2 linked regions of the Caenorhabditis elegans genome follow. The protein of the gene in region 1 interacts with the protein of each later gene in a pairwise test. Each region holds a gene or a part of one and is shown in the gene's direction. Other genes may lie near its edges.

Region 1 (8,295 bases):
ATCTTTTGTTGGTAATATACAGAAGACGTCTTGTTACATAAAAATAATGATTTGGAAGTCGACCAAAAAAAATTTTCCTACGATTTTTGCATACCTTAATTTTGTATTGATACTTTCTGGGGGTCGAAAAATTTTGGATCTCCCCAAAACGCATATTTTTTCAAAAATTTGGCATTTTACCAAAACTTTGACTGGAAGTTCTGAAAAAATTGAATTTTTTCAGAGTTTTTTAAAATGATTTCTTCACTGGCGCTACTGCAACTTTAATCACTTTTTTTTTCATTTTCCGACCAAAAAAAAATTGGAATGCAACTTTTATTTGGTTAATTGTGTGTTTTTCGTGTTATTAACTTTTTAAAAATTAATTAATTACGTTGAAAATTGGTGATTAAATTTGTCGAGAAATTCACTGTTTGACCGCGTGTGTATAAAAATTTTCTTCCGATTTCGTCAATGATCTTTTTGCATACATTAGCAACATATAAAAATTAATTTGAAAGCTTCCTTTAAAAATAAAATTGATAATAGGCTCCGCCTTTTTCTGGGCTTTCTTTGTTTTTGAAGTTTTCCAATCGAATGTTCTGTGAAAAAATCTTTTCAAACAAATTTTTGTAACGGTTGTTTGGCAATATTTCGATCTTTTGATTTTTGGATGTACCCTTTATCTTTTGTTGATAATATTTTGTATCATGAGTAGAAACAAAACCAGGAAATTAATATCTGGCATAATTATTAGGTCGTTCAATAAGTTTTTTCGTTTTTTTCTAGTTTTGGTTTTTTCTTGGATATTATTTTGCGGTTGTACAGAAGACTGTTAGTAATGACAAGCCCAACAATATCAGCCATATCGGTCAACTTCCAGATTATTTAAAACTCAGAACTATGATGACGAAAAAAAAAAATTTTTTTTCGAATTTTTTCATTTCTTTGTGAAATCAAATACTTTGTATGCGTAGAGGTATAAGACAGTTAGTTAAACAAAACTGAAAAATTTCAGACTCAGGCATAGCTTATTGGTAGCGCTACATCTGTTTAAAGTGCCTAAAACGCTTGCAAAATTGACTTTTTTATGTTTAAGCAGTGCTAACTTTTAAACCATGAGAGATATACAAAAGTAATGTATTACAACATTAATGTACACATCATCAGCTACATTTTATCAGTATGTTACATTGTTGTCCCTCCTCACGTTTCTGAGTTACAGTTGATAGAAGTGAGCTTGGTCCAATTTTCAAAAAACCCTAATTTTCACGTTTTCGCCTGTAACTCCGAAATCAGGCGTCTAATTAAAAACTTCAAATTAAAAATTAAGTGATTTTAAATTATAATCGGGTTCACAGTTGACCGTTTTGTCATATCTCATATGTGGGCAAAGATATGAATTGTCAAAGAAAAGTTGCGGAAATTTTAGAAAATTTTCAAAAAAAAACATCGAAAAAAAATCCAACAGTTTTTTTTACAAGATAACCTCTAACTGTTTTTTGATTATGATAGCCTAATTAGTAATCAAAATATTAAATGTGTTTTTAAACGCTCATGTTCTTTTCGGAAAGAGTAAAACAGTTTTTTGCAATATTTTTCTATATTTTTTCGATCATGCATTTTTTGTTTGTTGACCGTTCATATCTTTGCCCACATATGATATGACAAAACGGTCAACTGTGTACCTGATTATAATTTAAAATCACTTTATTTTTAATTTGAAGTTTTTTAATCAGGCACCTGATTTCGGAGTTACAGGCGAAAACGTGAAAAATTAGGGTTTTTTGAAAATTGGACCAAGCTCATTTCTATCGACTGTAACTCAGAAACGTGAGGAGGGACAACAATGTAACATACTGATAAAATGTAGCTGATGATGTGTACATTAATGCTGTGATACATTACTTTTGTATATCTCTCATGGTTTAAAAGTTAGCACCGCTCAAACATGAAAAAGTCAATTTTGCAAGCGTTTTCGACACTTCCAACAGATGTAGCGCTACCAATAAGCTATGCCTGGTTCTGAAATGTTTTAGTTTTGTTTAACTAACTGTCTTATACCTCTACGCATACAAAGTTTTTGATTTCACAAAGAAATGAAAAAATTCGAAAAAAAATTTTTTTTTCGTCATCATAGTTCTGAGTTTTAAATAATCTGGAAGTTGACCGATATGGCTGATATTGTTGGGCTTGTTATTACTAACAGTCTTCTATACAACCGCAAAATATTATCCAAGAAAAAACCAAAACTAGAAAAAAACGAAAAAACTTATTGAACGACCTAATAATCAAATTTGGGCAAAATCTCTTAAGTTGGAGTAGTGACCGCACCGAACATTAACCTATTGCGTTAAATCGATTTATCAGTTATTTGAAATTGTTTTAAATAAAAAATATTTTTAAATCGTGTCCATTCAGATTATTTGCAGTTGCCTATATCAGCATAGTGACACAGTCAGAAATTTTTTGTGTTAACACAATGTAGCGAGAATGGTTGTAAGGCAAATATAATCATGATTTGTACTATGGAATACAACAATTCTACAGAAAAATTGTACTTATAAAAATTATGTTTCACAATATTTATATTGCGTCACTGATATTTTAGTTATTATTTCAGAACTTTTTCATGAGAAAGATCTTAAAATTTCAATGATATGATTCAAAACAATTAATTTAAAACATTAAATTCAAAAAAAGTAAAACTATTCAAAACTTTTTTTGAAAATGTTGTTTATTTTATTTCAAAAATGGCAACCATTCTGTTAGGCACTTATTTGGAAATCGTTGAAAAAAAAATGTTTTCCTCCGAATTTTATGTTTCAAACGGTAATATTCAATTATTTTAGGGATAGTTTTCTTTAAAAGTGGCAAAAACTTAATAATTGGCGCTTTTCGGAAAAAAAAAATTTTCTAAAATTTTTATTGTTTCAACATGCTTTTATTATACTCTTTGTAAATTGGGTTTTATTCATACGCTCAAATTGTATTTTGGTAATTAAAAAAATTGAAACGTAACCAGGAAATTAATATCTGCCAGAAGTAGTCAAATGTAAGCAAAACCTCTTAAGTTGGAATAGTGACTATGGTGGTTTTTACAGAAAACTGTCTTGTTATAGGAAAAAAATCTAATAGTAACACAATGGTTTAAAAGAAAGCATCTACATTTTTTTAAAGGTAAAACTTTTTGAAAAAAAATTGGATTTTTAAAAATTCACTGTAAAAAGTGACTATTACTCAAATTTTGCCACTCATAATTTTATAAGTCGATCAAAAAAAAACTTCCTACAATTTTTTTTGCCAAAACTTTGACTGGAAGTTGTAAAAAATTTGAGTTTTTTGGAGTGTTTTTTTAAATGATATCCCCACTGGCGCTACTCCTCCATCAATGACTTTAAAAATTGATAAGAAATCGAAAAATCTGAATTTCGAAATTTACCGTTTCACCGCGTGCGTATAAAACTTTTCATCACATTTTGATCTATTTCTGATAGTGATCCGCTTTCAAACGTGTAAAACAATTTAAAATTAAACCAGAAGCTTCCGATAAAAGTATAATCAATAATAGGCTCCACCTATTTTTGGATTTTCATTGTATTTAAAGTTTTCAAATCGAATCCAGGAACAAAATCTTCAAAATTTGCAACAAAAAAAAAATTCAGTTTCAGCCTTCAAACAAATTTTAGTAACGGCTGTTTGACAATTTTTCGATCTTTGGGTTTCAAATTTTTACGAGTTCCCTTTTACCCCCGCTTAGTATGCTTTACCTATTCTTACTGTTGGCACACCCACCCACAAGAAAAAGTGTTAACAATCAGTAATAAAATGATGCCATAACTATGACAAATATAAACATTTTTGGCAAATCGAAACAAACATAAGCTATTGTGGGGCAAAGGTTAAGGAAACGGTATAAAAAAGGATTGAGGTAAGGTTTAAACTTCACTTTTAACTTTTGTGATTTGAACCTTCAAAATGCTTAAAATTCTACTGCTCCTCTGCTTTTTCATCTCCACAGCCGGAGCCTGTGCTCCGGGTACCGGAACGCTGGGCTCCAAGGGAACATTCAGCTATGAAATGAACCCTCCTGCTCTATACACCTATGATTCTCTAGCAGAATTTGAAAACGGACAGTTTGATCAAGCCTATGCTCAGCGAGTTGTGGTGTCGGATGTGCAGAGTGCGGTGAGTTAAATGCAATTTTAAATAAAAATCCCAATACAGAAAAAATTTCTACTGTTTCACAAAATTTTTATGAACAGCTACAGTTTTCTTTGGAGTTCGTATAATTGCATTTATTAAAAGTCCAATTATTAAATGTCCAACTATGGTGGTGGATAATTTTGCCAAATTTATAAAAGAATGTGAAATGGCAACACATCGCATAATGTTTAACGGTTGCATTATTATTTGAAAAAAATTTGAAATTCTCAGAAGCTTTATAAATTCTAGTCTAGTTTTGATGAAAAGCCATATATTTTCTTAATTTCCATCAAGCCAGCCTATTCAATAAAAAGCGATTCATAAAAAGTTTAATGAAATACTTTTGAAACATTAAAAATTTTATTGAAATTTTCTTTTTTTTTTCGAAAAGTGCCAATTACTACGTTTTTGCCACTTTTAAAGAAAAGTATAGCATATTCCAATCTCTACAATAATTGAAAAAAAACCCATAAGTGGGCCATAAAATTCGGAGGCAATTTTTTTTTTGACGAAAACAATAATAATAACTTTTTAGGCACCGTAGAGTTGAAACACTCCCTAGTAAGATAACAGTGAGCTAATAAGAATATTATAAAACATACTTTTTTACAAATAAAATTTTTACGTTTTATTGAAAATTTATTTTGTAGAAACATGTTATATTCTATAGTACAAATGCATGATTATATTACAATCTTTCTATTTTCATTGTGTTAACACAAAAAATTCTCACTGTTTCACTATACTGATATAGCCAATTGCAAATAATCGAAATAATTCTGTTCTCTCCTAGAAACTGATAAATCACTCAAAAGCGACATACTAGGTGCGCGGTCAATGAGTTAAAAAATTTATTTAAAAGCCTGTAGATTTAATTCGGAATATTTTCCAAAAAGTATTCGCTGCGAGCAGGATTTGAACCTACGCGGGCAATGCCCATTGGATTTCAAGTCCAACTCCTTAACCGCTCGGACATCGCAGCCCGGTTTCGGAGAGCTGGTTGGGGTGTTTTCGTTACCGCAAATGGCTGTGTTGTTCGCACATTTTGAGCGGAGAAATGACTGAAAAAAGTATGCTGAAAGAGAAGAGCCTAGAGATGTGTCTACCTACCACTAAATCTATTTTGTTATCACTTTTGAATTATTTTTTTTAGAGATAACAATCTGAAACATTAATTTTTGAAATAAACCACAAAGTATCAGGTTGTCCCATAAGTTTTTGTACTTTTTTTCAAATATTTTTCCAAAACTTCTAGAAAGTTTTAAAATTTTTTCATCGTAGGTCGTGTCAAGGTCGGGTCGTCCCCTTCCAGAAAAGATTCATTTCATCCATTTCTACTTTGCCACGATGACAATCATCAAACTTGAACGTCGAGACGTTAGATTGCTTCTTCTTTATGAATTTCGTCTTGGTCATTCAGCAATGAAAGCGGAACGAAACATATGCGGTGCGATGGGTGAGGGAGCACTCTCTTATAATACAGCAAAGAGTTGGTTTCAAAAGTTCAAGAACGGCGACTTCAGTCTCGAAGAAATAGAACGTTCTGGGCGACCGGTAGAGTTAAATGAAGAAGACCTAGTGAAGCTGGTGGAGGAAGAGCCTCGTCTTAGTCTTCGTGAAATGGAAGAGAAGCTTGAGTGTTGTCATAGCACAATTGCACGTCACTTGGGTCGCCTTGGTTTTACTTCAAAACTTGGAATTTGGGTGCCTCATGAACTTTCGGCATCACAGAAGCTCACTCGGGTCAACGTTTGTACTCAACTTCTAACTTTTCGTCGAAAGTTCGATTGGCTGAACAATCTGGTTACTGGAGATGAGAAGTGGGTGCTCTATGTTAACCATTCCAGAAAACGTCAATGGCTTCCGATCGGTGAGAAAGGAATACCGACGCCAAAGCCTGATCTTCACCCAAAAAAGATAATGATCTGTGTCTGGTGGGGTGTTCAAGGACCCGTGCACTGGGAATTGTTGCCAACTAATAAAACTATCACTGCTGATTACTATTGTGCCCAATTGGACCGAGTTGCAGAAAAGACCAACGGAAAATATGAAAAACTATATTTTCTTCACGATAATGCTATGCCTCATGTCGCCAAGAAGACTTTCCAAAAGCTGCAAGATCTTGGTTGGACTGTTTTACCGCATCCACCATATTCTCCAGATCTTGCACCAACCGACTACCATTTGTTCTTGTCTCTCAGTGACTACATGCGCGACAAGCAATTCGACGACGAAGAGCATCTCAAAACTGAACTCTCCACTTTCTTCTCATCGCGTTCGCCGGATTTCTTCTCCCGTGGCATCATGATGTTACCTAGTAAATGGCAACAAGTGGTGGACACTAATGGTGAATACTTGTGTGAATAGTACTACTTGTCGCTTGAGAGAAATAAATTTTTTTCAAAAAAAAAAATAGTACAAAAACTTATGGGACAACCTGATATTTATACCCATTATCAATAAAAAAAAACTGTTTCAAATATTTCATTTTTCAGGTTGTATAAAATTAATTCGTTTGTCGATCTTTTGAATTCTTTTTTAAAGATAAATAAGTCTGAAACATTAAGTTTCAAAATAAGCCACAAAGTATTTATACCCATTATCAAAAAAAAACTGTTTCAAATATTTCATTTACCAGATTATATTTCGGAGAGCTTGCTAAAATTTGTCCATACGAACCAAAAAAAATTATCTGCTCAAAACTTGTATAATAATGGAACCAAGTAGAGCGCTAAAACACTAAAAACACTATACAATACCAAAAAAGTTTAAAAATTCAAAAAATTCAGATCAACGACGTATTGCAAGCCAACAGTATCCCCCTAAACGACATAAACCCACCAGTCATCACATTCTCGCCTCCAAACGTCACACTTACTACAGTAACCGAGTGCACCGCCGACACCGCGGGTTACGGTGTTCTACAACAATCCACAGTCTACTATAAGTGTGCAGCGAAGGCTGGAACCGATGGAAAATACGCGAAAAGTCCGTTTGTTGTCCCTTTGACCGTTCAAGTGACCGCGATTTCTGCAATTTATGAGAGCCAGTGGAAGATGTTGGCTTCTCAGATGGCGGACAAGTTGACGACGAAGAGAGGAGCACAGTTTTATACAGATCCTATTGTTACTGTTGGTTAATTGGTTTTTTTTCTTTTTGTGGATTTGAAATAAAATTATATTAACAGCGAGAATTTTTTACATGTATTGAAGTTTGAACATGGGATTTGATCTGGCCGTACAGAATAGAATACGGAAAAAGTTGAAAATACTTTAACGTTATTTGAAACAGGGAAACATAAAGTTTTTATGGGCGTTGAAAGCGAAAAATTAAAAGTTGATCTGATTTTGAGAATTCAAATTTTTGACTGTTTCATTAACATCACTTAAGATGTGCATTATTTTGATTCAGTATTGAATGATATGCCAGATCACTGCAACTTTTTTCGAACGAGGGCCGAGAAAAAATGCGAAAAATCGGTGTTTGCACACAATACACCGCATTTTACGACATTTTGTACTTGCTTTGTTTTCTTGTGTTTTTCACCGATTTTTCCCGTGTTTTCTTATTAAAACTGATAAATAAATATTTTTGTTAATGCTAAAATAATTTCCAGATGAAAAAAATTGTGAATTCAGTCGGCAAGTAGCGGTAAAAGTGGTCAATGTAATATGATGGATTACGGGAATAAAAAACCCAAACTTTTTCCCAAACATGATACATATGATGTTTAGATGCTGAAAGTACCTGATTATCATAACGAGACCGCTGAAAAAGTTTTGAGATTTTCAAAATTCAACTTTTTTTGTGAAAATCTCTACACCAAAAAAGTTGAATTTTGAAAACCTCAAAACTTTTTCAGCGGTCTCGTTATGAAAATCAGGTACTTTTAGCATCTAAACAGCATATGTATCATGTTTGGGAAAAAGTTTGGGTTTTTTATTCCCGTAATCCATCATATTACATTGACCATTTTTACCGCTACTTGCCGACTGAATTCACAATTTTTTCACTTGAAAATTGGTTTAGCATCTGCAAAAAATATTTATTTATTAGTTTTGATAAGAAAAAACGGGAAAAATCGGTGAAAAACGAAAGAAAACACGCAGA
Region 2 (8,129 bases), 4.8 Mb from region 1:
TTTTTTCCGCTGAGTTATATATAGGATGTAGAACTTAATGCCTTTTTCGAAAATAAGGATTCTACTGTAGCTCAATTTTTAATCTGAAATCGTGTTTTGAACATTTTAATTAAAGAAATAACAAATTAGGCACTTTTTGACTAATATCTGATTACCGTATATTCTCTATCAGTGCTGCATGTAACACTAATTTCCAGGCGCTTTTCGAATCCAGCACTATTAGAGACTGCAGTACTACTGGAGATGCAGCACTAATAAAGAATATATGGTAATTTGTGAAAAGTTTTCGAATAAAAAGTTTGAAAAAATTTCGACATCGGAAATTGTTTTCAAAACAAAAAAAAAACAAAAATTTTTAAGTATCATCAAAAATTTCTTACTATTAGATATTGCAGAAAAAAGTTGTATTTCCTGCTTGAATAAATTTCTAGCCAAATTCAATACTTTCGGTAAGGCAGCCCAACATTCTTTGGAGCTCTGAACAAAGAAACGTCCTATCATATTATTTACATATGCATCTTTTTTGAAAAAGTGAGTTAATGAGCAAAGTAAGTCAATGAGAGAGAATTAAATAAGTATTTGCCAACAAAAAAGCTTTTGAGGCAACATATGGTCTAAAAACCGTAAGTACAGTTTGTGCCATTTTCGTTTTCGTTTTCGTTTTCGTGTTTTAAAACGAAAATTTTCGTTTTCGTTTTCGAAAATGGAATTTCGAAAAAGTCCCAGCCCTGGTGGGAAAATGGGAAGATAAATATGAAGAAATGATTTGCCCCAAAAGATTTGGAAAATGATACTGTTCTAAAATTATATTTTTTCGAAATTTTTTTATTCGCAAAATTAAATTTTTGAATTGCCACTAGGGCTCACAGTGGTGAAGGTACACTCAAAACTTAGCAAATGACACTGTTTTTTTAGATGTCTTTTTTTAGATTTTCTAATGAAAACCATTTAGTGAAAAAGTTAGTTATCTATTCAGTTGAGGAATTAATAACTCAAAGTGATTCTGGGATGTATATACAATACTGCTGCATTTCTCACAACTTTATCTCGACCACCAATTTTTTTTGATGAAAAACCATCAACTAAAAAGTTGTACTTCAGATTAAAATAATCAACTTTGTAGTTGACAACTTTGCCATAAAATTTTTTCCACGGAGATGTAAGCATCCAAAGTGAACTCGATTTTGGAACATGTTCAACTATACCTCAGGTTTTTGACTGAAATTGTGTTCTGAACATCCAAAGTTTTTTTCAGAAAATTTAAATTTCCCGCCAAAATGTTTTTTATTCAGAAAATTTAAGTTTCCCGCCAAAAAAGTATTCTTCAGAAAAGTTGAATTTCCCGCCAAAATGTTTTTTAGAAAATTTGAATTTCCCGCTAAAATGACTTTTTCAGAAAATTTAAACTTCCCGCCAAAATTATTCTCAGGAAATTTGAATTTTTCGCCAGAAGGTCTCACCACGATGTGTCTACAGTATAAAATCTACAGTAATCCTACAGTACTCCTACAGTACCTCTACAGTACCTCTACAGTACTACTACAGCACCCCGACCATGTCACTCCATTAACCCTAAACCAATATCCCTTTACCAACCGTGGACCGCACCTCCGGCGCGGCCCCCGACTTCTGGAGCTGAAAAGTAATTTTTCTGAAACTACCGTAATCATACAGTACTCCTACCGTATCACTATTGTAATACTACAGTACTCCGATTATATCTGTACACTAACCCCAACTCACAATCCCTCCAGAAGCTAAAACTTCGCAGACTATAAAGACTACATACAAACTATGAACAAACGGAATAAGCGCTTTGTATATATAGTAAATGATAATCCAAAACTTTGCACACTACAAAGCCTGCATACACTACAAACTCCGGAGTCCGGACAGACTAACTGTATTTTTTTAAAATATAAGCAATAATGATGCTGAGCATCAAAGGGATTGAGCCATCGTTAGGGATTGAGCGTTCAAGTGAAGGAGCACGCTAGTAAATGAGGGTTTGCCCCGAACCGACGCCACCCACCGAAGAAGACGACCTGGACTTCAAGTCCTCTCCACCCTCATTACCACCATCACTCGCTCCTACTTCAAAAAATGAATGCGTTTCAGCATATTCCCTTGTTTTCTCAAGAAAAAATCATAAGAAACATGTTTTTTCACTGCGAAAAAAAATTGAATATCCAGAAAAATTTCAATTATCAGCCTCTTCTCCTTCTTTTCCGTCGACACGCTGCTCGTGAGTACTCTTCAATAGATCGTAAAGTGTACGAGCACGTTTCAAGTTCGAGATATCGTACGAATCCAGTGAGCTCTTCATCTTCTCCAATTCGCGATGAGCACTATCAAGAGCACTCTGTGCAATTTCGTTGGCTTCTTTGGGAAGATTCAGGACATCGAAGTTTAAGGCGCTTGCATTGAGGGCAAGTCCAAGGCGAATTGGGTGAGTTGGCTGCATCTTGTCCTTAGCGATACCAAGAGCCTCCTGAAAGTCATTTCATTTACATCAAGAATTTAGTTATTCAAATACCTGATAAGCGATTCGCGACTTGTGTGCATGCTCTTCTCTGTTGATATCGTCGTATTGGACCAGATACCTAAAATGGTCGGCGACCATGCCACCGAAGAGAGCCTTAGTTTCATCATTTAGCGCATAGTCTCAAGCCAAACAGGCGGGGCAGTTCAAAAATAGTTTGATATATAGTTTGATATAGTTTGATGAATAGTGGCGTGGAGTACGGTTTCGCGGCAATTCAAATACTACTATTCTTGAGACCAGACGAATCGGACGATTAACGGCGGCGAGGGATTCGGATCGGGGGAACCCAATCTGTGGGACGGGCCACGCCCACGATCAAATTTTGCAACCTCCGCACGGTTCTATGGGCGTGGCCAATCCCCCGATGTCAACAAATTTTAAAAAAAACCTTCCCCGATTTTATAAATATTTCAGCTTGAAATCGCGATGTTCATTTGCGAACTCGAGGCATTTTCGAAACGTTAAATGTTCCCGCGCAATAATGCTCCGCTGAACAGTGCACGCTTTTTGTGTAGATTCATTTAAATATTCATTTTCCGTCAGATTTCATGTAGAAACCCAAAGATTCGCTCATTTCGCTGCTCGATCTTTTCTTTTTCTTCATTCAACCGTATATTATATGCATTTTTCGTTTAAACGTTTTTCAAAAATTTTTAAAAATTGCTTACAATCTTCTTTGTAAAAAGAATATATTTTGCAACCAATTTTTTCGATTCTCCATGGAAAACTTATCAATTTAAACTGCATTCACTGTTACACTGATAATGCTTTGAACGACGGCGGTCGGAGAACTTCCAACCGATTACTGTTCTCCAATTTCATGTTTCTAGAAAAAAAGAAATTTCTGTCGTTTCATAACATGTTTTAACACGCAGAGCCTTTTTTTTTCGAATGAACCGCCATTTTCTTTAAAGGCGCAAGCTATTCCCTCTGCGCGATATTTCGCCGCGAAAAAAGAAGCCCCGCGAAAAAACGTATTCGAACCGCGGAATTTCCGCGAATTTGTTGCTGGTTTCTTCTAGAATTCAACGATTCAATGCTCATTTCATCACAATTTTTTTTTGTAAAATTATCCTTCTCGCTTTTATGCTCCTCTTGCCCTCAATTTTCTGTCTAAAAGCTATCATTTCCTCTGATTTCTTCCTCGATTTTCAAATGTTGGCCCAAAATAGTGATTTTTTCTTTAATTATATCCTAATCCCCACCAACACGATTTAGCAATTCTCGAAAATTATTTTTTTGCGTTGTTCAGGTAAAAGTCCTGACGAAACCTCCTGAGTTTTGTGTAACGTGCTCACCGAAAGATTAGTGTGCTTGCTGCGCCCGTTGTCACCACTGCCATTCATCCTTCTATTCCCGTGTTTTCTTATCAAATGCCCAAAAAATCTGAAATTTTTTGTGTAGACAATGCTATATATGAGGAGCGAATGTGTGCGCCAGAGAAAAAGACGGACAGACACAAATTGAGTGAGTGTGCGTTGCCCACTTTAGTTGTTGTCATGCGACGGCGGCGGCACGCGCTCTCTCATCGGCCGGCACTGCTGTCCATCGATTTTTCTTCTTTCAAACGTCGTGCGGGCTGTTTCGAATGTTCTAGGGCTCTCCGTTTCGATTATTACTCTCGCCTATGTTCTTCTCTTTTCGTTCTCAATATTTCATTATAAATTTTGTTTCAGAAGACTTGCTCACTGAAAAAATGTCCGATACCGTGGAAGAGCTCGTTCAACGCGCCAAGCTTGCCGAACAAGCCGAGCGATACGATGATATGGCTGCCGCCATGAAGAAAGTAAGATAAAACATCATTTACGGAGGTTTCAAATTTACTATTTTTCAGGTGACCGAGCAGGGACAGGAGCTTTCCAACGAAGAGCGTAACCTTCTCTCTGTTGCCTACAAAAACGTCGTCGGAGCTCGCCGTTCATCGTGGAGAGTTATCTCTTCCATTGAGCAAAAGACCGAGGGATCCGAGAAGAAGCAACAACTCGCCAAGGAATACCGCGTCAAGGTAACTACACCAAGCAAGATTTTATTAATTTCAAGAATTTTAGTAACTTATTTACATTATTTCAGGTTGAGCAAGAACTCAACGACATCTGCCAAGATGTGCTCAAGCTCCTCGACGAGTTCCTCATTGTCAAGGCTGGAGCTGCTGAGTCGAAGGTCTTCTATCTCAAGATGAAAGGAGATTACTACAGATACCTCGCCGAGGTCGCTTCAGAGGATCGCGCTGCCGTTGTTGAGAAGTCCCAGAAGGCTTACCAGGTATTTGAAAATAACTAAATTCTTGATGTAAATGGCATGACTTTCAGGAGGCTCTTGATATCGCTAAGGACAAGATGCAGCCAACCCACCCAATTCGCCTTGGACTTGCCCTCAACTTCTCTGTCTTCTACTACGAGATCTTGAACACTCCAGAGCACGCTTGCCAACTCGCGAAACAGGCTTTCGATGATGCTATTGCTGAGCTCGACACGTTGAACGAGGATTCGTACAAGGACTCGACCTTGATCATGCAACTTCTACGTGACAATCTCACTCTCTGGACATCTGACGTTGGAGCTGAAGATCAAGAGCAGGAGGGAAACCAGGAAGCTGGAAACTAAGTACGATTTCAAAATGTTTTATTGCCATTATATAAAGCTGACCTTTTTCCTCTTTTCCTTTCACATCAAATCTTGCTTCGAAAAAATAGTTTCGGTTTTCAGAGAGCTGAACTCCGTTCTCTTTCCTCGCATCTCTTCAACTTTCAGTTATCCTCCAACATTTCCGGTACGTTAGCCGAGAGAGTTGCCTAATCACCGTTTTTGTTTTAGACTTAACGTATTCACCAATACTCCATACAACACTGCGCAATAGCATCATGAAAGAAAATTCGGTCTTCAAGTGCTCTAGATCTCCAAGCCATAATTCTCTTCATGCTCTATTTCGCTGTAATTCACTCCGTCACTATTGTCATTCCTAAAATGGCGTATTGTTCTATGATTATTATGTGCTGTAAAGTATAATGAACCCCCATCTTCCATTTTTCTCTTATTATCCCCGATCTTTATTTTTAGATCTTTTTGAACATAAATGTTTGGTGAACTTTTCCGGTTGTCCGAATTTCATCACAACTTTCCAGGAGTTTTTCGAGTAATGGAATGGAATTTATTTTCAGATTTCGATGAAGGAGCATAAATAGGATAAAACATTTGCATTAACCTCTTAGAAGGTCTCAACACGAAAAATTAAATGAAATGTGAAAAAGTGTGCGCCTTTAAGCTGCCGAAAATTTTTTGATAGTTTCTTCCACGATTCGTTAAAAATTAAGTGTTTTATGGTAACATTTGAGTGTTCTTTTGAAAATAAATATATTCTTTGTCGAAAAACTATGAAACATCGATAAAAATTCCGCAGCAATAGAAGTTTAAAATTACAGTACTCTTTAAAGACTCACACCTTTTTGCGTTCAACAAATATTAGACGTGTCGAGACTAAGTACCGTACTTTTGGCGCAAAAAGCTCAAAATTTCGCTCCTGGGCAATATAATTTTCGGAAAAAAACTTAATTCTGGAGACTTCATGTGTTTTCACAGATCATGACGAGACCGATTGAGAAACATTTGGAAATACATTTTTCTTCAATATATCTTCAAAGTGGCCGATTGTATGTGATCATACGGAATAACGATGGATGTGTTTTGTGCTTTTCGGCAGATTTCGAGCTTTTGAGCCAACAATTTTCAGCGTTGTGGATGAAAAAACATGTCACGTTGTTTAATCAATTTAAAATCTTTAAAATGTAATGACTATTTTTATGGACTGCGCAGTTGCCCCATGTTGAAAAAAGATGTCAATTGCAATTACATTTTATTTTCCGTATAAGTTAAATTCAATAACCCAAAGTTCAAAAAAGTACTATTTATGAGTATTATCACGTGGTGTCAGAATGTCCCATGTCGGTTTGAACTTCGAAATATGCGGGAGTTGAGACGTAGACTGACGTCACATTTTTCTGAGAAAAAGTTATCCGCATTTTTGTAGATCATACCGTTATGGGGCAACCTGACACCACGTGTCTTATTCGAGATCCATATTTGAGTGAACACCCGGATAAGCTGGTAATCGTCTTTTCTTTTCAATTATGTGAACACTGATATGAATAATTTATTAAATAATTAATTGATTGAAGTTTCGCAGGGAAGCTGAGGCTTGCTGAGCTCTAATTCAGCGTTCAACACAAAGTCGGCTGGTTCTGAACGAGCTAGGAGAACATAGACTGTGTTGGCTACTGTAAGTGTTAAAGCATGGATCAGGAAGTAGCTGGTCCATGAGAGTTCAGCTGAAAGTGTTGAAAAAGGTTTAGTTTAGAAAGAGAATGAATTGATACTTACAATCTTCACTTCCCGGAAGCACAAGAAGAGAAAAAAGAACAGGTTCGAGCAGTGTTGCTAACGATTTGAACAATTGAATATACCCGATGACAAAGTAAGAGAATTGTCTGAAAATGTTCATTCTTGAAATTTCAAATTAATTTTTAAATCGCCTTACCTTGATATCAAAGCGGCGCCCTTATAGAATCCTCCACAATTGAACCCGAATGAAGCCTGATAGAAAGTGATGCAGATGACGTGTAGATATGGATGCTCGCGTGGCAGCAAGACTACGAGCATGAGAAAAAACGCGGGTACTTGCAATGAGATCGTGTTGAATAACCGCAACTTTGACTTTTCCGGCAGTGTACGAATACGATCGGACGCGATACCGGCGAATACTCGAACACCGATGAATAGATAACCTTTCATGGAATTCAGCCATGCATTAGCCTGGAAATTCACAAAATTGAGGGCAAATATCGGTGCAATATCGGTCTTTATTGCAATTTCGTGAAATTTTGACATGGCACTTTAAAGGCACACGCTGTTTTTCTCAGTGGGTCTCGCCACGCTCTCAACCATTGTAGTCGCTACAGGTACCAAATGTCATAGAATTGTTCATTGGATGTGGAAAATTAAGTTTGCCCCGACGTGCCTGAACACAAATTTACCTGAATATCCATTCCGAGGTATTGATAGTATTGTGCACCATATACAAGAAATACAAAACTGGCAAAAATATCGGCGAACCCGGCAACCCACACGGCCCAAACTGACTTGTCGGTGAGAACTTCTCGATACGGAGTCTTTTTTGTCTTATCTCTCTTGGTTCCTCCACCAATGTGTTGAAGCTCGTGATGTGTCATTAGGCAATGATCTTCCGGATCGTCACGATAGAACAAGAACCAGATGATTGTTGAGATGAAGAGAATTATTGAGAGAATATAATAGATAGGTCGCCAGCCAACATTTGATGTTGTCTGAAATATTATGAATTTTAAATATACCGTCTCAGTGCAATAACCTACCCATCCTGCCAGTGGCAACTGAATTACAGCTCTTGCCGCAGTGAATCCACTCAACGCAGCCAGTGACATTCCTACTTCTTTGATAGGCGACCACTTTGAGCACACGTATCCGACAACTCCAAAGTCAGCAGAGTAGAGGATTCCTTGGAATATCCTGAATACAAGTGCTACATGGTAGTTCGTGTCAAGAGCCCATGGCAT

What was found.
Region 2: the proteins of Y51H4A.8 (region 1) and par-5 interact in a two-hybrid assay, tested with the Caenorhabditis elegans proteins (one large-scale study listed by BioGRID).

Annotation. Positions count from the first base shown.
Region 1 is NC_003282.8:16,574,178-16,582,472, reverse strand, and holds Y51H4A.8 (DUF4136 domain-containing protein), read left to right. Parts: upstream 1-3,923; 5' UTR 3,924-3,957; coding exon 3,958-4,167; intron 4,168-4,263; exon of another isoform or gene 4,264-4,284; intron 4,285-4,470; exon of another isoform or gene 4,471-4,492; intron 4,493-4,715; exon of another isoform or gene 4,716-4,739; intron 4,740-4,962; exon of another isoform or gene 4,963-4,984; intron 4,985-5,085; exon of another isoform or gene 5,086-5,167; intron 5,168-6,700; exon of another isoform or gene 6,701-6,721; intron 6,722-6,844; exon of another isoform or gene 6,845-6,865; intron 6,866-6,974; coding exon 6,975-7,325; 3' UTR 7,326-7,379; downstream 7,380-8,295.
Region 2 is NC_003282.8:11,818,010-11,826,138, reverse strand, and holds par-5 (14-3-3-like protein 1), read left to right. Parts: upstream 1-4,221; 5' UTR 4,222-4,241; coding exon 4,242-4,331; intron 4,332-4,379; coding exon 4,380-4,550; intron 4,551-4,615; coding exon 4,616-4,807; intron 4,808-4,854; coding exon 4,855-5,148; intron 5,149-5,250; 3' UTR 5,251-5,314; intron 5,315-5,358; 3' UTR 5,359-5,633; downstream 5,634-8,129. Other genes in the region: M117.3 (14-3-3 domain-containing protein), read right to left, coding at 2,201-2,491, 2,537-2,623; M117.1 (Major facilitator superfamily (MFS) profile domain-containing protein), read right to left, coding at 6,703-6,866, 6,919-7,025, 7,076-7,350, 7,572-7,880, 7,929-8,129. UniProt on the Caenorhabditis elegans protein: Required to modulate lifespan, in concert with hcf-1, acting redundantly with 14-3-3-like protein ftt-2.